Ovis aries: one gene and its partners. The protein of the gene in region 6 purifies or fractionates together with the protein of the main gene of each other region. This does not show direct contact. Links are inferred from orthologs where the notes say so. Each region holds a gene or a part of one and is shown on either strand. Other genes may lie near its edges. The genes, in order: RAB40B, ASB6, TULP4, SPSB2, ASB7, RNF7 and ASB1.

Region 1 (3,500 bases), on a different chromosome or scaffold from region 6:
AGTGATGCCCCACGCACTGGGGCCAGAGCACCTCCCACTCTTCCTGTACAGACACAGGCTGGACAGCTGCCCCTTGAGGCCCCACTGTCTGCCTCCGCGTTCTTTTCAGGAAAAGACATCTTTTCACTCGGTGGTTCAGGTCAGGGACACAGCCCTGTTGCCAATGCCAGGTACTAGCACTGACTGTGGTAACTGAAATAGGCAATAAAGCAAATGGGATCAAGGGTGATGGAAGTACACAAAACCAGGAAGAAGCAGCCAACGAGTCTACCAAGAAACGAGTATGCTTTTTATTGTCAGGAAACATCCATTCTTAAACAACAGAGTTTGCTTCACTCTTAGCTGAAAATGGCTCTGAGTGACATTCTCTTGCCAGTCTGGACGTGGTGTAACCATGCTGCAGTGTGTTTGCTGTAACTAGAAATATCTTTGGCATTTTCTTCCCTTTAGCGTCATAACTTGTAAAACATTTGTACAAAAAAATGTAGATTTACAGAAAATATGCATATAAATCACTTATCCTAAAACGTAGTAAATAACGTAGCAAAAACTTGATCAAATCCGTTTCATACACAAGCTGGACAAATTGGCTGTGCGTAATCTCTAACTTATCTATGGCGTTTTATAAATTAGTGCTTCCACATTAAAAAGGAGGTTTATAAAAAGACCCCTCATAGCATCAAAAACTCTTAATTTCTCTCTCCATTTCCACTTTTTGTAGTCCCTAGAATTTATACTCATCACAAACATATCACCATTCTTATAAAAAGTAGTTATTTCAAGAAAAAAGTTGCACTGCAATCATGATAGGTTACATTCAAAATTCCATGTTATCAAGAGTTCTTCCCTTTATAAACACATGTCTGAAATAAGAGCCCCATGCCCATCCATGCAGAAGTATCTGGTAAGCAGGGTACCAGCCTCGGTTTCATTGCTCGGGGCCACGTGGTCACAACACTGGCAGGCGTCTAGGTCCAGAGCGGCCTCCCCCTCCCATCTGTGCCCCTCCTCTGCCTTGCACCCTCCTCAAGAGACTTTGCAGTTGTTCCTGGAGCAGCGTCTGGGGGGGCTCTGGGGGAGGTGGGTGCCCTTGGCTTTTCGGAGGCTGGTCCTCTTGTGGCCGGAGCTGGTGGCGAGGGAGCAGGGCCGGCCGTGCACCATCCTGGCGCTCAGGCCGGTGGCCATCGAGAAGGACTTGAGGTGGCTCCTGAGGGCCGTGGGCAGCGGCAGCTTGTCCAGCAGGTGTGCAGGCGTGCAAGACACCACTGCCCGGCAGCACAGGTCCTGCAAGCTCAGGACTTGGGAAAGAAAAGGAAACCCGGTTCACTTGCAGTGTCCTGGGCGTGGGGCCAGCCCCGGGGCAGCAGGATGCCTGTCCACCCTCCTCTCTGGGACTCTGGGGCAAGACGTCAAGGCCCAGTCTCCCACCCTGTGCCTACAGGGGGCAATTAGAAATAGGTGGTCCTGCTTTTGTCTCCTTAAACCCAGTTTGCCTCCAAACTTGAGACCACAACCGTCCCTCCCACTGGGTCTGAGAGACGAGTCCTGGCCTGCAATGGCCAATCACGTCTCCTCAGGATTCATGCAACCAGCTTTTGGGGCTTGAGGCCAAGCGCTTCAGGAAATGTGCTTCCCAACAGAGTAGCTGACCCAGAATAATGTGTTATCAGCTTTATAAAGACATACTGGAGAACACACCAGAAAAGCAAATGCTGTCACTTATATTTCAGCTACATTGTTCGTTTTATGAGTCAGAGCCCCTGCTCAAACAGAGCGGGACTCCCCAGGGGCCTGCTGGGAGCAGAGACTGCGTCTCACCCTTGGTGCAGTCAGGGCACTCCTCAACCCCTGGAGCATCAGACAGAAGAAACACAACCCAAGGCTTTGCTTCCTTTTAGAATCAAGGTCCTAACAACTTTCAGAACAGTGCTTCTCAACTGGGGGCGATTTTGACTCCCTAGGACATTTGGCAAAATCTGGAGACATTTGTGGTTTTCACAAATGGGGGCAGGGAGACCAAGGGTGCAGCTCACCCACAGCATAGGGGATGCCCCCACTAGAGGACACACCATCCCAGCTGGCTGTAGTGCCAAGGGGCAGAAGCTCTGATTTATGAGAATGGAGACAGCGACCTGGGGGCAGGTCCTGGGAGGCTGACCGCTGGAGGGGCTGCCGGGCAGCCCGGAGGAGCACCTACCCTTGCTCGGCCTCCAGAGCCGGTCCATCCCGTGCCGCAGCAGCACGATCCTGGCCAGCTCCATAAAGGACTCAGTGATGTTGAAATTGCACAGTGGGCTGACCTCGAAGAACGTCACACCCAGGCGCTCTGCGTAGGCCTGGGCCTGCTCTGTGGGGACCTGCCGCTTGAAGGCCAGGTGCAGGCGGTTCCCCACCAGGATCTTAGGGACCCCTGGGGCATGCTAAAGGGTGACAAAGAGGCAAGGAAAGTGGGTCAGGCACAAGCTTTGTTGTTGTAATGACAGGTGCCCTGGGATGATATACATGTAGAACTTCAGAATATGTCCTTTTTTGAAAATAGGGGCTTTGCAGATGGAATTAGTTAAGATCTTAGGGTGGACCTGACATCCCGTCACTGTGACCTTATAAGAAGGGGAGAGGACACAGGACGCTCAGGGAAGAAGGCACATGACGGCAGAGCAGAGATGGAGTGAGGCATCCAGAGATCAAAGGCCAGGGACTGTCAGCAACACCAGAAGCTGGAGGAGGCAGGAAGGACCCTCCTCTCAGACAGAGGGAGCCAACACCTTGATTTTGGACTCTGACCCCAGAACGCAGAGAATGAGTTTCCTTTGTGTTCAGCCACACAGTCTGTGGTGAGCTGTTACGGCCACCCCAGGACACTTACAACAGTGGATGGGACTGACCACTAGACGTCTCCATTGGCAGCTGGGCCGGTCAGGGTGCCCGCAGATAGCAGCCTAGTTAGCGCTGGTCAACCCACCTGACTGTGTGCAGGGCCTCGTCCTGTGCTAAGAGGTGACATGTCCTCCCCGCTGTGGCTGGAGCCTTGTGCCCTGGCTCCCCTGCCCACCCCTCCATGGGCCCACAGGGAGGGAGCCCTGCCCCGTTGTACCTCATTGATCTCCTTAATCCACCGGTCGATGCCATCAAAGGACCAGCGGTTCGCGATGTCGTATACCAGGATCACACCCTGGGGAGACAACAGTCACTTGTGGAGAGACTGGCCAGCACGCAGGCCACTCAGGCACACACTCACAACGAGCTAAACAGTCATTCTACTTATTTTAATGCAAAACACATTTTTTAAAATTTATGTGCCAAATGTAGCAGCTATATGATCATTTCCAATGATAATTTCATAAGCTCATGGAGAAACCCTCAAATGCGAAGGTAAGTTGGGTAGTAGAACTCAGTTCCCCACATTCATGAGCTGGTCTAGGGACATGGAATGTGGGGGGACTGCAGAGCCCGCCCACCTGGACAGAGAGTTCCCACACACGTGCAGACACACACATGTG
Region 2 (4,143 bases), on a different chromosome or scaffold from region 6:
TCCCAGGAGCACCCACCATGCTTGTCGGCCGCATTGACGTCTGCTCCGAGGTCCAGGAGGCGTTGCAGGCAGGGCAGGCGCTCCGGCTCCTCGCTGGCCAGGTCCAGGGGGCTGCTCTCGTGGATCTGAGCCAAGAAAGCACAGCCAGGTTGGCCCTGGGGCCTGTGAGCGGCTCAGGGCCCCGGCCACATGCCTCCTTCAGAGCAGGGCTGGCTCTTACCCGGTCCCTCCGGTTGATGTCGGCCCCGTGGCGCACCAGCAGCTCTACCATGTCAGGCTGGTTTCGCAGGACGGCGATGTGCAGCGCCGTGTAGTAGGTGACCGGGTCTGAAGGCGCAGACACAGCTCACATCAGCCCTGCCCGACGGCACATTCTCACAGGATTCCAGGACCAGCCTGGCAGCCTAGCCCCAACGCTCCGACCCAAGGGCTCCTGGCACCGTGAGGGGTCAGGACACAGCTGTCCTCGTCAGACGCTAGGGTGCTCAGTCAGGCCTAGGTTCGGGTCCTGGGGAGGTGTTCCAGTGAACGGACAAGGTACTTAATCTGGGTTTTAGTCCCTTTTGTAAAATAGGACCTAAAACAAGGCTGTGGGGAGGAACACCCACAAATGCTCAAAGCTGGGTCTCCCAAGTGACTGACTGCAGAACGCCTCCCCCGCTCCTTGACCTCCCAGGAGCCCAGCCGCCTCTGAGCCTGTCCTCCAAAGGGGAGGAGAGACACGCCTGGCACGTCCTGTATCAGCACAAAAACCCCATTCGGGAACAAGTCAGTCCCGAGTGTCTCCCGGCTGACCTTGCCTGCCCCCCCAACCCCCCACCCAGGGCAAAACAAAGAGGGAAGGAAGATGGCTCCATCAGCACCTCCCGGGCACACCAGCTAGACGCCAACACCATCAGTCCGTGATTTATGCCCAATGTGTCTTATCTGTTTCCCCCCTCTCCCTGTGGCAGGAACCAGCATGCAACATGGCTCAGAACCAGCGGCAGAAAATTACTTTCCCTTAGCTCTGGGCACAGTGCCAGCAGCCCCATTTTTGCATTAATGGAAGCAAGGATTTAGCTGGGAGCTGGGGGAAAGTTTGCTAAGTCAGTCGCCTGATAGGAGCAGCGACAAACTTGCTCCTGATCAGAGGTGGTTGAGGGCCTCTGGGAAACTGCAGGGGGTGGGAGGCCACCCAGTGTGGGTTTCCTCAGGCATCACCCCTGAAGAGATGAGGGCAGAGCCTGGAGGCTTGACTGCCCACCCCCGGCAGGCCACACTCAAGCCATCTATCCACCCCAGCCCTCCAGGCTCCGGCAGACCTTCAAAGTTGAGGTTGGCTCCATTCCGCAGGAGCACAGCGGCTGCGCGCGGCAGCCCCAGCTCGGCCATCTTCAGCAGGGCGTTGCTCACGCCTTCCTGGTAAAATGGAGAGTGGGCTTTTCTCTCCAGCAGCTCGGTGAGAACAAGGATGCGGCTCTCCTCGCTGGCAGCATAACTGGGCCTGGGGCAGGAGAGAGGAGCAGCTGAGGGTGGGACAGGTTGGCAGGGCACCCTGCGGGTAAGTGGCCTTGGTCTCCTGCAGTCACCCCCACTTCGCCCCCACTCCCACCCCAGGCAGGGCCCTGGCTCCATGGGGCAGAAAGTCTCTTCCGAAAAGGTTGGTGGACCAAGCTGGATCTTTTCAATGGAGCAGACTCCAGGTTTGCTGAGAAAGGACTGGGGCTGTCATCAACCTCCTTCCAAGTCACCCATACAACCTGGCCCCTGACTTAGGTACAAAGCCTCATACACCTGCGCTGTTGGCACTGAAGGGAACCCTTGCGGCCAAAGGCAAGAACCAGACACCGACTAACCCGGGGCTGCAGAAGGTGCTGCACCCCAGCTCAGGCCGCCCAGCAGCCAGGGCGGTCAGAAGACCTCCCAAAGCCCGATCACACTCAGAGACGGTTTGGTCCACCAAAGGCTGAGGGACCCAGAAAGCCCTTTGCACCACAGCCCCAACCCGCCTACCCCCCCTCGCCAATTCCAACTGATGCCCAAAACACACCCCCGATCCCCCCTCTCCTCGGCTCTTTTCTCCACTCCACGTAAGGCAGTATATACCACTTTAACCACTGTCAGCCTCTCTCTGGTAGCACGATCACCACGAAGGGTGAGGGTTTTAGCTCGCCGATGTAACCTCTAAACGATGCGCTTTCTGAACAGCCTTCCCACAGGCTAACGTATGACAGACGCGCGCCTGTCTATACCAAACGAGAAACTCCGGGCTACAGAAAGCTCATCCCGCGCCGCGTTTACCGACTACATCCTGCTCCTCTGCAGCTCCAGGTAGAGGGCACAGGACCGGCAGGGCGCAGGGTGGGGCGCTGAGGCAGAGGCCCTGCCGCCACCCCGCCCCACGGGCCTCCCTGAGCGGGCCGCGGCCGCCTCCACCCATCCCCGCCCGCCCTCGGTCTCCTCTGACAGATGAGGACACCGCCCGCCATATTTGTGGGGACAAGGAAAGGGGTGCCGCGCCGGTCTGAGGCGGGGAAGGGCGCGAGTTACCCGTCCAGGGGCTCCTGCCGCTCGGGGTCCTGGATGCCCAAGGAGCCCAGGATAGCATCCACGAGCGGCTGGTACTCGAAGATAATCCTCCGGAAGCCATGCAGGAACGGCATGGCGGCGGCCGCACCTTCCACCGAGGCCGAGACGTCGACTGGGATACGTCGCGGAGCCCGCGGTCCTGACCAGGTTCGGCCGCTCGCTGGGTCCAGTCCCCCGCCCCGCGCCCGGCCCGGTGCACCGCCCAACCCGGGGCTACGCGCCGGAAGTCACCCGCGCGCTTCCGGCCCGCTCAAGCCCCGGGGAAGGGATCGCGGCGGCGGCGACAGCGCCCTCTGCGGTTTCGGAGGATCGCGGTGCGATTGGGCGCGCAAGCTAGGGGTGCCTTGCGGGGACAGCTCCGCAGGACTGGAGGGCGCAGACCGGCAGCCAAGTCCGATCTCAGCCCTAGGCCCGGAAGCTCCTTTCCCGGCCCGGCCCAGCTCCGCCTTGCTATCCCGCTCGCGGCCGCTGGGCGCCGTCCTAGCTCCGCCCATTGAGCGAGCACACACCGGCCGGATCCGTGCCCAGCTCCCAGGAAGGACCCCCGGTGCCCCCGACTTGGGTGGGAGTTGGGTCGGACCACGGTTGGGCCTGGCTTTCACCTTCTCCCCAGGCTGACTGGACCACACCCACCCTGACGGGCGATGGGGACGATTCCTTAGCCCTTGCAGCCTACTGGGGCTTCCACTTTCTGCCTTGATGGACTCAATGAACTTTACTTTCTACATCTGTAAAATGGGGATAATCAAACCCACGCAAGATCTTGGGTCAAGAGCTCTGTTACTGTCAGTTGAATCTAACAGGAATGAGCCCAAGGCTGGGGCCACTTTTCTAAGGAGTAGCGTCTGGCCTTGGGCCTCGCATTCGAACGTCCACAACCTTGAGGCCCAGGGTGGAGCCTTGATGCCTTCGTGATTCTGGATAGCTCGTCGTGAAGGGGTGCGCCAGTCCCAGCCGCTCAGGTGGCAGCCTTGGTCTCCCATCGCCCCCACCCTCCACCACGTGGGCTTGGGAGTCTCTCCCACCTGACACTCGTCAGGGACAAGTCTTGAAGGAAGTGGAAAACGTTTAGAGATGAATTTAAAGACAACCCCATGTGCCTACAATTAAACATAAAAAAATGGGTAGAGTAGGGCTCCCCCATCCCCGACCCCGGCCACCAAGAAAAACGCAATCCAAAGCCTTCCAGGCCAGCGATGGGGACCCAGCAGGGTCCAGTATGCAGCAAGGGCTGGACAATTGCTTGCTTATAATTCTTCAGTTCACAAGGTTGTTGTGCAGATCAAGAGATGAACCTTTAAAATCCCCATCAGGTCTCAGAAGACCTAATTTTGCTTCCCCCTCCGTTGCCTAAAGGAGCAAGAAAAGTGGTAGGGGGATCAGCAGGGAATCTGCCTGTAATTCAGGAGACCTGGGTTCGATCCCTGGGTCGGGAAGATCCCCTGGAAGAGGAAATGGCAACCCACTCCAGTATTCTTGCCTGGAGAATTCCACGGACAGAGGAGCCTGGTAGGCTACAGTCCATGGGGTCGCAAAAAGTTGGACACGACTGAGCGACTAACACACACACAC
Region 3 (3,500 bases), on a different chromosome or scaffold from region 6:
TTTACCACTGAGCCATCTGGGAGGCCCAGTATTTTGTAGAAAGTGAAAGTTAATTCTCAAGTGAAAGCATTAGTTGCTCTGCTGCTGCTGCTCAGTCACTTCAGTCATGTCCAACTCTGTGCAACCCTGTGGACTGCAGCCTTCCAGGCTCTTCCGTCCCTGGGATTCTCCAGGCAAGAACACTGGAGTGGGTTGCCGTTTCATTCTCCAATGCATGGAAGTGAAAAGGGAAAGTGAAGTCACTCAGTCGTGTCTGACCCTCAGCGACCCTGTGGACTGCACCCTTTGGGGCTTCTCCATCCATGGGATTTTCCAGGCAAGAGTACTGGAGTGGGGTGCCATTGCCTTCTCTGGTTAGTTGCTCAGTTGTGTCCAACTCTTTGCGACCCCATGGACTGAGGCCTGCAGGGTTTCTCTGTCCCTGGAATTCTCCAGGCAAGAATACTGGAGTGGGGTGGCCATTCCCTTCTCCAGGGGATCGTCCCAACCCAGGGATCGAACCCAGGTCTCCTGCACTGCTGGCAGATTCTTTACCATCTGAGCCACCAGAGAAGCCTCAAGTAAAAGTTCCTTACAAATGAATCACTTGATCTAACTGCAGTTTATTTTTAAATATATATTATTCCACATACAATTCTGTCCTTCTTTCCTGATGTTCATAAGGCAAAAAAAGCAGGCGGTATGGACTTGATTAAATTAAGGGCCCCGCCCCTGAGAGTGTGACGTCCACAGGGGCTGCTCGAGAGTGAGGAGGTCCAGGGGCCTATGGGTAGGTGCCTGACCCTGGCCTGGTCTCTGCAGGATCAACATCGAGGCCCGGAAGTCCCCCAAGCTGTCGCGCGCTGCTCAGGAGCTCTCCCGCTCTCCTCGCCTGCCCATGCGCAAGCCGTCCATCGGCTCGCCCAGCCTGGCACGGAGGGAGTTCCCCTTTGAAGACATCACTCAGGTATCGGAGCCCTGCTGCCCTTCCCCCTTGCACGTGCATGAGGGCGGCTGAGCCCTGGGGACCGTCTCCATGCCTGGGATGGCAGCCCCTCGGGGCCCTTGTCACCTCCTTGTCCCACTCGGCTTCCCTCCCACCTGGGGATCCCCGTGGCTGCCACGAGAGCCTTCTCGAAGGCAGCTCTGCTTGAGACATCTCCTCACGTCCACCGCAGGACCCCCAACCACTCCTGACCCCTCAGTGACTCCCAGCGTCCCAGGAGCCCAGCCCTGGTCACAGCCCCACGTCTGGCTGGCCTGTCTCCCTCCTGGCCCCCTTCACCCCGGGGCCACTGCCTTGTGGTTGACTGCCTCTTCCACTTTCTGCCTGCATCTCCCTATCAGTGGGCCCACCTTCTTGTCTGCTCCCCGTGGTTTCTGTCTTCAGGTTTCCAGGTATAACCACCTCTGTCCAAAGCCTGCCTTCCCTGGCTTAGCCACAGTAAGGCCAGTGCATCCTGTTTATGCTCCCTTATCCTTTCTCGGCGACTCCCTCGTGTGTGAATAACTACAAGCCTTATCTCCTCCCTAGGGTTATAAGCTGAGGGTATGTGTGTATACAGGTTTTTTTAAACTATAATTGACCTGCAACACTACTGTTAGTTACTAGTGTACAACATAGTGATTTGGTATTTTTATACATTTTAAAATGGTCACTATGATAAGTCTGCTTACTGGCTGTCACCATACAAAGTTATTACAATGTTATTGGCTATATTCTCCATGCTGTACATTTCATCCCTGAAAGTATTTATTTTGTAACTGGAGTTGTAGCTCTCAATCTCCCTCAATTTCACTCATCACCCTCCACCCCGACCCCAGCAACCACCTGTTCGTTCCCCATGAGTCTGTTTCTGGTTTATGTTTGTTCATTTGTTTTGCAGTCCACGCATAAGTGAAGTCATGCAGTGTTTGTCTGACACACTTCACTTAGCATACGGCCTCCAGGTCTGTTCGTGTTATTGCAGATGGCTAATGCTTCACTCTTTCCATGGCTGAGGAATATTTCAGTGTGTGTGTGTTTACCACAGCTTCTTTACCCATTTATCTGTTATTGGGTGGTTAGGTTGCCTCCATGTCTTGGATGCTTTAAATAATACTGCTCTGAACATTAGAAGTGCACATATCTTTTCATATGGTATTTCAATTTTTTAGTTTTTTGAGGAACCTCCATACTGTTTCTCACAGTGGCTGTACCAGCTTAACGTTTCTACCAGCAGTGTTGGAGGGTTCCCTTTCTTGAGCTGGGTTTTATTCATCTTTATTATTGCTTTTGCACCTGTGTGTGTATACATGCACACACACACACACAGCCTATGTATATGTGTGGTTTGGGGCACAGTGATAACTTTTAAAATTTTTTGAAATTTAATCGAATGAGAAAACAGATAATTGGGTGGTCTTGGCACACACAGTTATCAGTACAACTGATGTTTCCAGGAGAAATAAGAACTCAAGGCTAAGAGTGGAGTCAGAGCTTGGTACCCTTGTAGTTCAAGTGACTGGGCAAAAGGAGAGGCGAAGAAAAGTGTGCCGAAGTCACTCTTGTGACCTTTTAACCTCCCCACGCATGGACACACTGGGATCCGTCCACCCCTTGCTCCCGACCCGAGAACCACAGCCCGTGAGCCACCATTTGGAAACAGGGCTGATGTGCTCTCATCACCGTCTGGTCTTGAAAACAGTGGAATGACACAGGGTGAATATTTCCATCAGCAGCCACCACCAGCAGCTTTTAAGCAAAAAGTGTTAGCATTCTTACTTCTTAAGTGATTGATAGAAAATATGGAAACAGATTGTGATTCTTCTTCTTTTTCCCCACAGCACAACTATCTCGCTCAGGTCACGTCTAATATCTGGGGAACCAAATTCAAGATCGTGGGCTTGGCTGCTTTCCTGCCAGCCAACCTCGGTGCAGGTAAGCGCTGCACCCGCTCTGGAGCTCGGGCTCAGGAACCGATTTCAGCCTCCGTGGTGCACAGTGAGCTCTTACAGCACCGGAAGACTAGCTTGTATTTCCCTCCAAAGTTTGACTCAAGCCACCATGGTTTAGTGGAGAATAGAATTATTCTATTCAATTTTTTTCCCTCCAGCGGTGCTTTCATTTTTTTTATACAAGCCCTGGGTGATAAAAATAGCCAAAAGCGCTGATAGGTTTTCTGGTCATTTTGATTTCTGGCCTTTTACTGTGGGCAGATTTTGGTACCAGTGTCCTCAGGTTCTTGAAGCAAAAGAAATTTCTGAGCAAAGTCAAGAAGAGAGCATTAGAGGCTATACGAACAAGTTGGCTGACTGTTAGTGCAGTTCTTAGTGGTAAATCTTTATAGACTTCATTTTCGAGTATCAGTTAAATGTCATGTCTGTTGGAAGCATGAGACATTGGGGAAAATGGAATCGGGAGGACAGAGCCGAGCAGGAACCCAGAGCATCTGGCACTCTCTGTACCCAACTCTAGTGAGTAGCTCCAACTGCTCACATTTATTTGGCCCTTTTATAGAAAGCATGTGGCAGTTCCCTGT
Region 4 (4,101 bases), on a different chromosome or scaffold from region 6:
ATTTCTTGCAAATGAAACAATACAGTATGTATTCTTTGTATTCTTTTGTGTCTGACCTGTTTTTTCCTCAACATTAGGTCTGTGAGAGTCATCCATGTTGTTGCATGAAATGATAGTTGTTTGAATATTCCATTGTAAGCGTGGGCTTCCCTGATGGCTCAGCAAGTAAAGAGTCCATCTGAAATGCAGGAGACACAGGAGACTTGGCCCGGGAAGATCCCCTGGAGGAGGAAACGGCAACCTACTCCAGTAATCTTGCCTGGAAAATGCCATGGACAGAGGAGCCTGGTGGCCTACAGTCCATGGCGTCAGAAAGAGTCAGACAAAACTGAGCCCAGGGCATACGCATGTTGTATGGATATACCACAACTGTTTCCATCTTTAGCTACTGTGTATAGTTATCAGGAGTCTTTTAATGGACCTAGGCAGCTCATTTTTGTTGGGGGCATACTTACGTGCAGAATTGTTGGGTTACAAGGAATTACAATGTATAGATTTAACCACATGTAATTTTCAGGTTTCTCGCCACAGAGGGATTTTGTTCAGAAATGAAATCGTTCAGTTATTTACAGCATGGAACGCTTTAACAAGTTTATGAAAATTTGAGCTGTTCCGTTCTTTCTCTTTATCAGTTCCTCAGCTTTTTATTACTGGTTTTCTGTTCTTCGTGTATTTCAGTTTCTCCCACAGAGCCACCACGATCCACTTGCTAGGCCACTCAGTGAGTTTCACTTGTCAACAGAAAACCCTTAAAGTTCTAAACACATTCTTCCCAACATGCAAGGACTGTCTGAGGTTTGTTTCCATGCCTGCTGAATATAAAAGATGCAACTGGAAATATTGGAGCATCTTCAAATTGTTCAACTCATGACCACATTAAGCCCAGCATCAGCTCTCCCTGGCTCTCAAGGAGGAATCTCAGCCTCATGCATGTGACTTTGAAACAGAACTTCACGCTTACAGCAGAACGAAGGATGGGGTGATGTTAGGGGGAAGAAAACTTCAATGCCTTTATGAGCGCATTCATAAAGCGTGTGGGACTGCAGAGTGGTATTGCTGCCTGTGAGCGGCAATGACAAAGCCAAGGCCTTTCTCTCTGATGTCCAACTTAGCTTCTAGGATGTAGACTGTAAAAGCAAATCAAGAAAAATACTGCAGCTACCCAGGACTTTGCATTTGAAATGCTGGAGTACAGAAGAAAAAAAAAAAATTTTTTTTTTAAGGACACTGGGATTTGTATCTTTGTAGAACTCTCTGGCTTTATTAAACACACTGCTTCACTGCCTCCAGGAAAGGAGGTGGAAGAGGTGGTCACGAGCTCATTTTGTTGTTGTTCAGTCGTGTCTGACTCTTTGAGACCCCGTAGATGATAGCCTTCTTTATCCATGGGATTCCCCAGGCAAGAATACTGGAGCAGGTTGCCATTTCTGTCTCCCGGGAATCTTCCTGACCCAGGGATTGAACCCGACTCTCCTGTGTTGCAGGTGAATTCTTTACTGCTGAGGCACCAGGAAGCCCCCACAAAGTCTTTCCTTACTTTTAAACCAGGGTCTTGAGCTACTAGTTTGGAAACATAAAAGCAGTCGGGCAAGTCCCCCTCAGAAGATACCAACCTTGCTATATTCTGGGGGACAGCGCTTTGGCCAATATTTCTTAGTAGTCCTGGGTAGGTTCCCCCACAGATACAGCCTCATAAACGGTTGGAACATATCTGGTTTCTAAACCTGTTATGCCATCCTTGGCTAGTTGTGAAATTCTTCCATCCCAACGCCCTCTTGTCTGGCCGAAGCGTGAACTATGACAAGGCTAAGTTTTTCTTTTTCCTTTTCTGCCATGTATGGCCATTGTGAGGCACCTATTTCTGCTTCATTTCTTCCAGGAATAAGTTTAGTGTGTTCTCATTCCTGATTTAAGATTCACACGTACCTTGCTGTCCCTGTAACAGCAGAAGAACCTGATGACCTGTCTTCACACATCTATTGAATCTCAATTGCACGTGTGATTTCTTGAGGTCATACTCCTGTGCCACGTTGGAGATGGCCCTCGCTAAGTAAGCCCATTTTCCTCCCAGCGCGGGAAGGAACTGCTGCTTCTTTGGGTGGGCGCCAGATGAAACTGTTAGATTGCCTTCAGGTGGGTCGTGTTATACGGAAAAGAGGCAGCTTAAAAACACTAGTTTGAAAAGCAAAACACTAGAACCGCAGTCAGGCTCAGGCCCAGGGCCAAGGGCAGAGTCCAGTCCCACCGTCGGTGGGGAGCAGTACCTGGAGACCTGCCACCCTATTTAATCTGAGAATTGGTGTGTTTGTGTGCAGACTCCCGTGCTCAGTCGTGTTCAAGTCTTTGCGACCCCTTGGACTGTTGCCCACCAGGCTCCTCGGTCCATGGAATTCTGTGGAGACACGCAAGAGTACTGCGGTGAGTTGCCATTTCCTCCTCCAGGGGAAGCTTCCCCACCCAAGGATAGAACCTGTCTCCTACACTGGCAGGAGGATTCTTTACCGCTGCGCCCCCAGGGAAGCCCTGAGAATTGTTGAGCTCACTTTAAGTGTGCCTGATGCAACCCCATCACCTCTCATTTAATCCACACAACTAAGATGGCCCAGTGTTGACAGGTTTATACACTGGGTCTCGGAAAGGCTAACCGACTTGTCTGTGACTAGAGCTGGTAAATGGCAGCGTCGGGACTCAAAAAATGAAAAGCCACTGCGCCAAACCCAAGGGTGGTGACCAAATGGCGATTGCTGGTAACGCTCCCAGCTCTCCGAGCCAGACGCGCCACCCCCGCCGCCGCCAGGGAACCGGTTATGTAACACGCGGGGGCGCGGACTCCCGGGGGCGGCGGTCACGTACGTGGCTATCTGCGCAGGCGCGGGGGCCGGGCGGCTGCAGGGGCTCGCGCGCCCCCTAGCGGCCGCAGCGGTGACGCGGTCTCCGCTCCGCCCGCTCCCAGTGTGCTGCTTTGCAGCTTCCGCCCCCGCCCACATCCCTCAGGCGTTTGATTCTGGAACATTAAGCGCCGGAACAAAGGCCCCAGGGCGGAACCGAGGGCCTTTAAGCCACGGCTGCACCTTTGGACTTCAGAGGGGAGTAAAAGAGCTGGTGCTTCCGCAGATCCGCTTATCGAGGCTAACACCCGGAGTTTTCGTACCTATAAAGGGCTCCCTTCCTCTCTCCCTCAAGAAACTGTCCTTACCTCGCCATCTCTCTCTTCTTCCTGTGGACAATATCGCTCTATCTAGGGATCCTCACCACGGGAGAGTCTGTGACCTCCACCTGGGAGGTGCGAGGCCACAAGTCGCAGACAGCCAGGTTATGCTAAAGACTGCAGCCTAAAGGAGCTCGCCTGTTATAAAAACCACCCTCTCAAACTCTGCAAGCCTACATCAGCCTGTCATTAAAAGTCCTGCTTGCCAAGTCAATGCCCGTTTGTTTATCATTGGTAGTTTTTAAAAGACTGGCTCAAGATTGTCTAACTTCACCTTTATGTCCCTTAAGGCCTCCACTTTCCAGTGACTCATAAGTGAGGATATCCGCTGGCTGGTCCTTCCTTTATGCCTTTATGCCTTCCTTTATGTCAGGGATTCTTAAAGTGGAGGGAGGAACAGAGAGGGGTGTCCTTAATTACTTTTGAAAAGCACATTTACCATTAGTTCTGGGGACATCCCTGGCGGTCCAGTGGTTGGGGCTCTGTGGTTCCAAGCAGGGTGCACAGGTTCAGTTTCCTGGTCAGGGAATTAGGATCCTGCATACTGTGCACGAGCCTGGCTTAAGACAGCAAATAAAGAAAAATTTAAAAGTTTCTTCAAAAAAGTTACTTAGGAACATGAAATTGTGGACTTCTCTGCTGGTCCAGTGGTTGGGGCTCTGAGATTCCACTGCAAGGAGCCAGGGTTTGACTCCCAGTCCAAGAACCAACAACCCTCACACCGTGCTGTGTGGTCACATATTTAAAAAAAAAAAAAGTGCAAGCATAATTTAAAGAAAATTTTTAAAAAGTATTGAAAACTCATCACAATCTAATTATTGTACCACCTTTTGTAGTTTGCTAGGACTGCCATAACAAAAGGCTTAAGTAGTTTAAGCGACAGAAATTTATTT
Region 5 (3,500 bases), on a different chromosome or scaffold from region 6:
ATCCATTTCCTGTGTGGCACCTGCCACAAAATCAGTGCTCAACAGCCACATGGGGCTAGTGGCTGCCACAGTGGCCAGCACAGAGGCCATTTCCATCATCACTGAACGCTCTGTGGACAGCACGGGTTAGACCCCAAGTGTCATTTTTTTTATGCTTGAGTCTGAATATACTCAGTGGTAATAATTTCATCCTGTCTTTCTTATGAATAAACAAAATCCAAATTATACCTCATTTCTTCATAAATTTTCTACTCCCAAATTCAGTTCCAAGGACAGTGGATTATTTACAAGCAGGTCAGGTAAGCTCCTAATCCTCTACTACTTGGCACCTAGAATGTCTTTCTTCTTCTATAACAATGAATGAAACATAAAAATTAGTTGAGGAAAGGGGAATTCATTAAAAAGTACAGTAGACAAAACGCTGCGTTTAGAGACGATAGCTTCATGTTGAATATGAAGCTCTGAGAGTACCCACGAGGAAGTCTGAGAGGAGAGGGTGGCTGCTCCACACAAACCAATTCCTCCATCCGAAAAATAACACAGGCACCATTAACGCAGCAGGCCACACACTTTGCAGCTTAAAAATAAGGCACCTACACGAAAACAGGCCGGTTACACTGTCCTATGTGGGCCAGGGACAGTGGCACCAAATTTCCTACTGGGAACAAACTTTTCCTTACAACCATTTCTAATATCTAGCATCCTTAATCTGTACTCCTAGGATGCCTAACAAATAACACTGCTATTCCATTCCACGTGTGTTCACACTGTAAAGAAGCAGAAACGGAATGATAAAACACGAGCACAGCTTAGGAATAAAGCACAAATTCTAAGACACTTCCATAGCTAAGGATGCTAAGATCCAAAATTCTCCTTCTAATTCCTCATTCTCAATTTCATGAAAGCCTGGAAAGACTATGTTTATGACTAGTAGGAAATGCCCTGTTCTCGTATTGATCTCTATTTAAAAAATTCCTCTCTCTGCATCCTTTTCGCCAATTTTTCTCTCATCCTATCTATGCCTATTTACTTTTAGTAACACAATTGATTATTTTTATGAAATCCTGTGATACAGAGCTTTCTTTTTCATTTCAGATGAGTGGAAAGAGCAGGGCTAACAAGAATCATTAACATCTGGTCATTTTAAGTTGTAAAAACACCTTAAGCTCCTCAGAAGAAGCAAAAAAAATTCTTAAATGTAATAATAGCAATAATTAAATTACATACTTGTGACTTCTTGTAAGAAATCCAAACACGGTCGACTACTTCCAGAAATGCTTATTGAAACAGCCAATGGGGTCTGTCCTTCATAGTTCCTTGTGTTCGTGTCCGCTCCGTAATTATATAACATCCGTGCACAGAGCACATCGTCCCTAAGGGCAGACAAATGTAAAGGAGTCTGTCCATCTTCTAAGCGACCCAAGTTTGTGTCTGCTCCTCTCTGGAGGAACATTCGGCAATAAGAGTGATTGCTTTTAATCACAGCGTATCTCAACAGGAAACCGTTCTGAATGTCGATGTTGGCGTTGTGGTCCAGGAGGATTTTCACACAGCTTGACCGCTCTCGGATAATGGCGAGCTGAAGCGGCGTTGTACCTTTATCACTGAGCGGGTCAACCTCAGCCTTGAACTCCAGTAGGAGTCGGACAAATGAGTCCCTACCATAGTGAGCGGCCACATGAAGGGGAGTCCAGCCATCATTGCTTTTTGCATTAATAATGTCGCTCCTGTATTCAGATTCTAACATCAGGCGTGCAATCCGGGCCCGGCCATGCATGGCTGCATAATGAAGAGCAGTGAAGCCTCCGATTAAGTCCTTAACTGTGGGATCAGCTAGAGTTAAAACCAAAATGAAAACATTAGCAGACTCTGGGAGAGAAAGCAACAAATTCTGCCGTGGCACAGCACATCTTAGCCAATTCTCACATGAAATGGGGAATGATTAAACACATAATGAGCATCAAGTCCTTCTTGCTTCAGCTTAATTGAAGTAGTTTTAATGGAAAATAAATTTTAGTAGAAAGCCATCAAACCTGGATTAACAGGATGAGCATACGACTTACAAAGCATTTAAAAGATAAATACAGCCAACACAGAGCTCTGATCGCCACACCCCTTCGCTCTGCTAATCTAACCAGCTGCCCTTGGCCTCCCAACTCCCTCATCTCTGCACTGTTTCATGTTTCTCTTCTGTTTTGAACTTTTTGTTTTATTTTCTCTTGTGCTGCTTCTTGGTCTTAAAAAGAAGCATGTGTAGCAACATCTGCTGCTCTAAATTACGGATGTACTGTGGTCTGGCAGACTGTGTTATTTTAGGGTATATTAGGTAAAAAAAAAAAAAGTTTTTTGTGGTCTATAAAAATTTCAAAGTATGTAAGGTATATGTTAAGTGATCTTGATAAATCATGTTTCTATAAGATAAAAGTCAATTCTGAATTCTTTGTTTTGTAAGAACTCTGGAGTTTTTAGGAATTAGGCAGCACACATTGAGTGAAAAATTGGGAGAAACTTCAGCACTGTGTAAATATTATTTTCTAAAACAGTTCCAAACCTCTCTTCTAAATCCACAGATTTCTCGAAATAAAAGAGAAGACAGAAACTAAAATGATTTATCAGCTATGTGTCTCCTCAAGCCAGAGACTTCTGTCCCCTGTTCCCAATCCTTCCTGAACCTGAGAGTCAGTTCTGCACTGCTCTCATCCCACTGGCCTTCCTGGGCAGGGGGCAGAAGAGGGGAAAGAACCTTTATTCACTGCAGACAGGTCACTTACGGAAGTGACGGGAACGGAGGCCAGCAAGTCCATGCAAAGATAACTGGTTGGACCTAACTACCTAAGAGTAAAATGTTTTCTTCTTATAAAAGTCACCCTTAATTTTTTCTTTGTTCATGAAAGAGAAAAATTCACGAGTGTTTTTCAAATAAACAAAGAAAAAGCCTCCACAGTTACGTGATTAAACACTCCTGTATTGTTTAGTAAAAATAGTTTTTAGTTCTGTAACATTTTATGACAGTTTCAGCTCTTAGAAAAACCTATGAGGCAGAAAAGTATATGTAAAATAGTAATAATACTGTGGAAAATACAGATTTCAATTAAGAAGTAGTTACAACAAAAGCTATACAATGTTAGCACTTTTTAGGCAAGTTATATCAGTTGAATTTCTAAAATTATTTCATATAAACTGATATTATACAATAGTAATAAGACTTTTATGTGTTTAAAGAAAAAAAGGGTATCGTATCTGTCCTGCTTTTCACTAAAAGAAAACTATATAGTATAGTTTCAAGTTGCGACTTAAAAAAAAAAAAAAAAGCAAGAACATTTAAACAAAGCACATTGCTGCCATCTACTGGTAAGATGTGAACACGGGCTCCTAATGTTTCCATTTTGACATGATGCCCTCAAGTTTTTTCCAGATACCTTACTTATCTAGAGTGAGTGAGGACATGAATGAAATCTAAAAGAACCTTTACTATTCAAACAAAACTGTAAATCTTGTCA
Region 6 (2,208 bases):
GATTAATTCTTTCAGTAGCTAATTGTGAAAAAAATAATAAAGCAAAATTTACAAGAAATCTAATTAATACATAGTAGGTAAGTTGAAAGCATACAGAATTCTAATTTTTAATTATTATACTTTTAATATTCTTTTATGTATCCATATTCCTTAGATTCAGAAAGATTCAGACTGGCAACTCCACAACTACAGAAGTGAATGGTTAAGATTTCAAGATTTTAGTTGTCTAAATGCATAGCAATAGCCTATGTTATAAAAAAATTCAAAATGAACTTGTGGTTCCTAAATTGTCCTAAGATATTTCCATTGAATGTGAATTGACTTGATAGAATTTAAGTATTTTTTTACACTTATGTTTGCAGGTAATAAAGTTATTAATAATTTTATTATTACCAAAGAAAGAGCAAATGAATATTTTTTCAAATTAACCAAAAGCATTCACTTGCCAAATTAGTTTAAGTTGAAAGTTGAGCATAAACTTGCAATAATGACAATTCAAATGAGGTAAACAGAATAAACCATTTATTAAAACATCATGTGGTAAAGTTAACTTCTTGACCCAATGTGACAATGGTAAACATTTTCCCCTTGTTAACATTCCACCTAAAACACAGTTAAATTATAACACAATACAACCAGATGCTGAAAAGACTTCTGTCCTTTACCACTCACTAGGTGAGTGCAGATCTAGGTTTTCTTGATGAATCGAGAGAGGATTATAAAGACACTCGAAATCCCATATACCCAAAAGTTAAATTTTATTTACCCTGTTCCCTGGTCCAAACTTAAAATTATATCAAATAAAAATTTCATTAATTATCCTCCCCCCTGCCAAAAATAAATATTAGGAACACATTAAGGATAAGAACTGGGTTTTAAACTGTACTTTATTTGTTACTATAACATTGTCTTTTTAAAAAATTGATCAACCATAAGCATGCAAAAAATTCTCTTCTGAACGGAACCACTTCAATAACTCCTTGGATATCGGTAAGTCAATTATGAAGGTTGTTCAATTTATAGTCCTCTCCTTTATAGCACTTCTAAGCAGTGTGTGAGACACATACCACAGAGGTAGGAAAGACCATCCTTAATAAATTATCTTAATTGTAGAGAATTTCTGAAAATAAAACTGAAGAAGGCTAAACCATGCCTTTGATGAGTCCCAAAAGACCACAGATCCATCTCCTATTCGAAGAATTAGTCCCCTGGAGAGTTCTAGCCGCTGTAGGGCACTTGATAACAAGATCCACCAGGGCTCCGAACAACTGACTGCATGAAGGGCACCTTCGGTTGCTCTCACTTCCCGATTCTCTGGACCACCCAGTCCTGCTGGCAGAGAGGGCAGCGATTGTTCTGTTTCACCCACAAGGACATGCAGCAGTTGTGGAAGGAATGATTGCATTCTCCCCAGACCACTGGGAAAAAAAAAAGAATATCTGACATTACATATTTCAATTTAACTTACTGAAGTCAGAATTCTATTTTGTTATATAATAATTATGGTTCATAATCTTAAGGATGGTTAACTGGCCAAAATAAATTTTTTTAGTCATAAAGAAAAAGAACCTTACATATAGAAATTATACTTTAAAAATGAGGTAAGGGGACTTCCCTGGTGGTCCAGGGGCTAAGACTCTGCGCTCTCAATGTAGGGGGCCCGGGGTTCAATCCCTGGTCAGGGAACTAGCTTCCGCATGCCACAACTAAGACCTGGTATAGCCAATGAAAAAAGAAAAAAATGAGGTAGGGCACCATGCTTGGAAACCTGACATCACTGTTGGAATCCGAGGATGCTGTGGTGGCTTCCCGCTCCTATGTGGCGCCACATGCTGTCAGTCTTTCTCTCGTTGGGAGGTTAAAAGACCTGTGTGTGTGTACTAAGTCGGCTCACTTGTATTTGACTCCTTGCAACCCTATGGACTGTAGCCTGCCAGGCTCCTCTGTCCATGGGATTCTCCAGGCAAGAATAGTGGAGTGGATTTCCAGGCCCTTATCCCAGGGATCTTTCAGACTCAGGGATGGAACCCACATCTCTTGTGCCTCCTGCACTGGCAGACAGGTTCTTTACTAGCACCACCAGGGAAGCCCAGAAGACGAGTCTTCCTCAGATCCCAAACCACTCCACTCGTGCATTGACCCTGGAGACCTTTGGGGCCTTTAAGTTAGTTTATTTAAAGATGTCCTCCTGATTTTAAAATTTTCTTT
Region 7 (3,500 bases), about 240 Mb from region 6:
AAGGCCGCCTCGCAGCCATGACGCAGGACGGCGTCCATGACGCAGCCGGGCGAGCCCCTGTAAAAGCCCTGCGTGTTGACGGGGCCGTTGCAGTTGAAGTCCGGGTTCGCCCCCGCCTGCAGCAGCAGCTTGAAGCACTGCAGGTTGTGGTAGGCAGCGCTGATGTACAGCGGGCAGACCACCAAGGAGGTGAGCCGCCGTGAGAAAGGGGGCTGGGCGTCAGGAGTCAGGTGGTGGTTGACATCGACGTCCGCCCCATACCTGCAGAGAGACACACGGAGAGTCAGGCCAGCATGGTCGGCAGACCCTGACCGCACCTGCAGGGACGGCCCGACGCCCCAGCACCGGAGCATCCCCTGCTCACAGTGGGCCCATGACTCCCAGCAGGCACCACGGTAGCTCAGAACCTTAGGATCCTCTCACACAAGAAAACTCCTAAGGGAATTCTTTCTAACCTGTGAAGACCCAACAATCCCACGGCTATTTTAACTATTTCAAACAAAGATAAAGAAGGACAATTCCCAAATTCATCTTATGCAATGAACAACAGAATAAACCCCAAACCAAACAAAGGTCATACCATAAAGAAAACTTACCAGTGACCTGCACTTAGGAGCATCAACTTACAACCTCCAATTAAACGTCAGCAAAGGGACTCCAAACACATTAAGACAGCAACACACGATGACCTCATGGGGGTTATTCCAGGGGTGGTTCCTATATCAGAAACTCTATTAACATAATCCATCATATTCACAGAACTAAGGGGAAACGCTGCGGATGTGACTGGTGATGAAGCAAGGTCCGATGCTGTAAAGAGCAATACTGCACAGGAACCTGGAATGTTAGGCCCATGAGTCAAGGCAAACTGGAAGTGGTTAAACAGGAGATGGCAAGGATGAACGTCAACATTTTAGGAATCAGCAAACTAAAATGAACTTGAGTGCGTGAATTTAACTCAGATGACCATTATATATCTACTGCTGTGGGCAAGAATCACTCAGAAAAAATGGAGTAGCCATCACAGTCAACAAAACAGTCAGAATATGCAGTACTGGATGCAGTCTCAAATATGACAGAATGACCTCTGTTCGTCTCCAAGGCAAACCATTCAATATCACAGTAATCCAAGTCTATGCCCCAACCAGTAATGCTGAAGAAGCTGAAGTTGAATGGTTCTATGAAGACCTATAAGATCTTCTAGAACTAACAGCCAAAAAAGATGTCCTTTTTGTTATAGGGAACTGGAGCAAAAGCAGGAAGTCAAGAAACACGTGGAATAACAGGCAAATCTGGTCTTGGGAGTACAAAATGAAGCAGGGCAAAGGCTAAGAGTTTTGCCAAGAACGCACTGGTCATAGCAAACACCCTCTTCCAACAACACAAGAGAAGACTCTACACATGGACATCACCAGATGGTCAATACCAAAATCAGATTGGTTATATTCTCTGTGGCCAAAGATGGAGAAGCTCTATTCAGTCAGCAAAAACAAGACCGGGAGCTGACTGTGGCTCAGATCATGAACTCCTTATTGCCAAATTCAGACTGAAATTGAAGAAAGTAGGGAAAACCACTAGACCATTCAGGTATGACCTAAATCAAATCCCTTGCAATTATACAGTGGAAGTGACAAATAGATTTAAGGGACTAGATCTGACAGAGTGCCTGATGAACTATGGGCGGAGGTTTGTGACATTGTACAGGAGACAGGGAGCAAGAAAAAGAAATGCAAAAAAGCAAAATGGCCATCTGAGGAGGCCTTACAAATACCTGTGAAAAGAAGAGAAGTGAAAAGCAAAGAAGAAAGGGAAAGATATACCCATGTGAATGCAGAGTTCCAAAGAATAGCAAGGAGAATTAAGAAAGCCTTCCTCAGCGATCAGTGCAAATAGAGGAACACAACAGAATGGGAAAGACTAGAGATCTCATCAAGAAAATTAGAGATACCAAGGGAACATTTCATGCAAAGATGGGCTCAATAAAGGACAGAAATGGTACGGACCAAACAGAAGAAGAAACTAAGAGGTGGAAAGAATACACAGAACTATACCAAAAAGATCATCACAACCCAGATAATCACGATGGTGTGATCACTCACCTAGAGCCAGACATCTTGGAATGTGAAGTCAAGTGGGCCTTAGGAAGCATCACTATGAACAAAGCTAGTGGAGGTGATGGAATTCCAGTTGAGCTATTTCAAATCCTGGAAGATGATGCTGTGAGAGTGCTGCACTCAATATGCCAGCAAATTTGGAAAACTCAGCAGTGGCCACAGGACTGGAAAAGGTCAGTTTTCATTCCAATCCCAAAGAAAGGCAATGCCGAAGAATGCTCAAACTATTGCACAATTGCACTCATCCCACACACTAGTAAAATGGTGCTCAAAATTCTCCAAGCCAGGCTTCAGCAATACACAAACTGTGAACTTCCAGATGTTCAAGCTGGATTTACAAAAGGCAGAGGAACCAGAGTTCAAATTGCCAACATCATGTGGATCATTGAAAAAGCACGAGAGTTCCAGAAAAACATGTGTTTCTGCCTTATTGACTATGCCAAAGCCTTTGACTGTGTTCAGTTCAGTTCAGTTCAGTCACTTAGTCATGTCTGACTCTTTGCGACCCCATGGACTGCAGCACATCAGGCCTCCCTGTCCATCACCAACTCCCAGAGTCCACCCAGACCCATGTCCGTTGAGTCGATGATACCATCCAACCATCTCATCCTCTGTCGTCCACTTCTCCTTCTGTCTTCAATCTTTCCCAGCATCAGGGTCTTTTCAAATGAGTCAGCTCTTCGCATCAGGTGGCCAAAGTATTGGGGTTTCAGCTTCAACATCAGTCCCTCTAATGGAACACCCAGGACTGATCTTTAAGATGAACTGGTTGGATCTCCTTGCAGTCCAAGGGACTCTCCAGAGTCTTCTCCAACACCACAGTTTAAAACCATCAACCATCTTCAGCGCTCAGCTTTCTTTATTGTCCACCTCTCACATCCATACATGACTACTGGAAAAACCATAGCCTTTGTTGACTAGATGAACCTTTGTTGGCAAAGTAATGTCTCTCCTTTTTAATATACAGTCTAAGTTGGTCATAACTTTCCAAGGAGTACTTACTTTCCAAGGAGTAAGCGTCTTTTAATTTCATGGCTCCAGTCACCACCTGCAGTGATTTTGACTGTGTAGATCACAACAAACTATGGAAAATTCCTCAAGAGATAGGAATACCAGACCACCTGGCCTGCTTCTTAAGAAACCTATATGCAGGCCAGGAAGCAACAGTTAGAACTGGACATGGAACAACAGACTGGTTCCAAATAGGAAAAGAGTACGCCAAGGCTGTATACTGTCACCCTGCTTATTTAACTTATATGCAGAGTACATCATGAGAAACGCTGGGCTGGAAGAAGCACAAGCAGGAATCAAGATTGCTGGGAGAAATATCAATAACAGGTATCAGCTATGCATATGACACCACCCTTATGGCAGAAAGAGAAGAAG

What was found.
Region 1: the proteins of RNF7 (region 6) and RAB40B purify together in Homo sapiens (affinity purification with mass spectrometry; 3 studies listed by BioGRID and IntAct, with this or other methods). This does not show direct contact. The link is inferred for Ovis aries from reciprocal best matches to the Homo sapiens genes RNF7 and RAB40B.
Region 2: the proteins of RNF7 (region 6) and ASB6 purify together in Homo sapiens (co-immunoprecipitation; 4 studies listed by BioGRID and IntAct, counting the BioPlex papers as one, with this or other methods). This does not show direct contact. The link is inferred for Ovis aries from reciprocal best matches to the Homo sapiens genes RNF7 and ASB6.
Region 3: the proteins of RNF7 (region 6) and TULP4 purify together in Homo sapiens (co-immunoprecipitation; 3 studies listed by BioGRID and IntAct, with this or other methods). This does not show direct contact. The link is inferred for Ovis aries from reciprocal best matches to the Homo sapiens genes RNF7 and TULP4.
Region 4: the proteins of RNF7 (region 6) and SPSB2 purify together in Homo sapiens (co-immunoprecipitation; 3 studies listed by BioGRID and IntAct, with this or other methods). This does not show direct contact. The link is inferred for Ovis aries from reciprocal best matches to the Homo sapiens genes RNF7 and SPSB2.
Region 5: the proteins of RNF7 (region 6) and ASB7 purify together in Homo sapiens (co-immunoprecipitation; 4 studies listed by BioGRID and IntAct, with this or other methods). This does not show direct contact. The link is inferred for Ovis aries from reciprocal best matches to the Homo sapiens genes RNF7 and ASB7.
Region 7: the proteins of RNF7 (region 6) and ASB1 purify together in Homo sapiens (co-immunoprecipitation; 3 studies listed by BioGRID and IntAct, with this or other methods). This does not show direct contact. The link is inferred for Ovis aries from reciprocal best matches to the Homo sapiens genes RNF7 and ASB1.

What each region holds. Positions count from the first base shown.
Region 1 is NC_056064.1:49,673,226-49,676,725, reverse strand, and holds the end of RAB40B (ras-related protein Rab-40B), read right to left. Parts: intron 3,173-3,500; coding exon 3,095-3,172; intron 2,421-3,094; coding exon 2,198-2,420; intron 1,299-2,197; coding exon 1,027-1,298; 3' UTR 269-1,026; downstream 1-268. UniProt on the Homo sapiens protein: RAB40B small GTPase acts as substrate-recognition components of the ECS(RAB40B) E3 ubiquitin ligase complex which mediates the ubiquitination of target proteins.
Region 2 is NC_056056.1:6,876,063-6,880,205, reverse strand, and holds the start of ASB6 (ankyrin repeat and SOCS box protein 6), read right to left. Parts: upstream 2,801-4,143; 5' UTR 2,646-2,800; coding exon 2,533-2,645; intron 1,487-2,532; coding exon 1,305-1,486; intron 328-1,304; coding exon 221-327; intron 126-220; coding exon 17-125; intron 1-16. UniProt on the Homo sapiens protein: Probable substrate-recognition component of a SCF-like ECS (Elongin-Cullin-SOCS-box protein) E3 ubiquitin-protein ligase complex which mediates the ubiquitination and subsequent proteasomal degradation of target proteins.
Region 3 is NC_056061.1:82,683,940-82,687,439, forward strand, and holds part of TULP4 (tubby-related protein 4), read left to right. Parts: intron 1-801; coding exon 802-946; intron 947-2,805; coding exon 2,806-2,899; intron 2,900-3,500. UniProt on the Homo sapiens protein: May be a substrate-recognition component of a SCF-like ECS (Elongin-Cullin-SOCS-box protein) E3 ubiquitin ligase complex which mediates the ubiquitination and subsequent proteasomal degradation of target proteins.
Region 4 is NC_056056.1:209,407,687-209,411,787, reverse strand, and holds the start of SPSB2 (SPRY domain-containing SOCS box protein 2), read right to left. Parts: upstream 2,801-4,101; 5' UTR 1-2,800. UniProt on the Homo sapiens protein: Substrate recognition component of a SCF-like ECS (Elongin BC-CUL2/5-SOCS-box protein) E3 ubiquitin-protein ligase complex which mediates the ubiquitination and subsequent proteasomal degradation of target proteins.
Region 5 is NC_056071.1:5,390,636-5,394,135, forward strand, and holds part of ASB7 (ankyrin repeat and SOCS box protein 7), read right to left. Parts: intron 1,834-3,500; coding exon 1,228-1,833; intron 1-1,227. UniProt on the Homo sapiens protein: Probable substrate-recognition component of a SCF-like ECS (Elongin-Cullin-SOCS-box protein) E3 ubiquitin-protein ligase complex which mediates the ubiquitination and subsequent proteasomal degradation of target proteins.
Region 6 is NC_056054.1:247,812,867-247,815,074, forward strand, and holds the end of RNF7 (RING-box protein 2), read right to left. Parts: intron 1,419-2,208; coding exon 1,300-1,418; 3' UTR 501-1,299; downstream 1-500. UniProt on the Homo sapiens protein: Catalytic component of multiple cullin-5-RING E3 ubiquitin-protein ligase complexes (ECS complexes), which mediate the ubiquitination and subsequent proteasomal degradation of target proteins.
Region 7 is NC_056054.1:2,901,068-2,904,567, forward strand, and holds part of ASB1 (ankyrin repeat and SOCS box protein 1), read right to left. Parts: intron 262-3,500; coding exon 1-261. UniProt on the Homo sapiens protein: Probable substrate-recognition component of a SCF-like ECS (Elongin-Cullin-SOCS-box protein) E3 ligase complex which mediates the ubiquitination and subsequent proteasomal degradation of target proteins.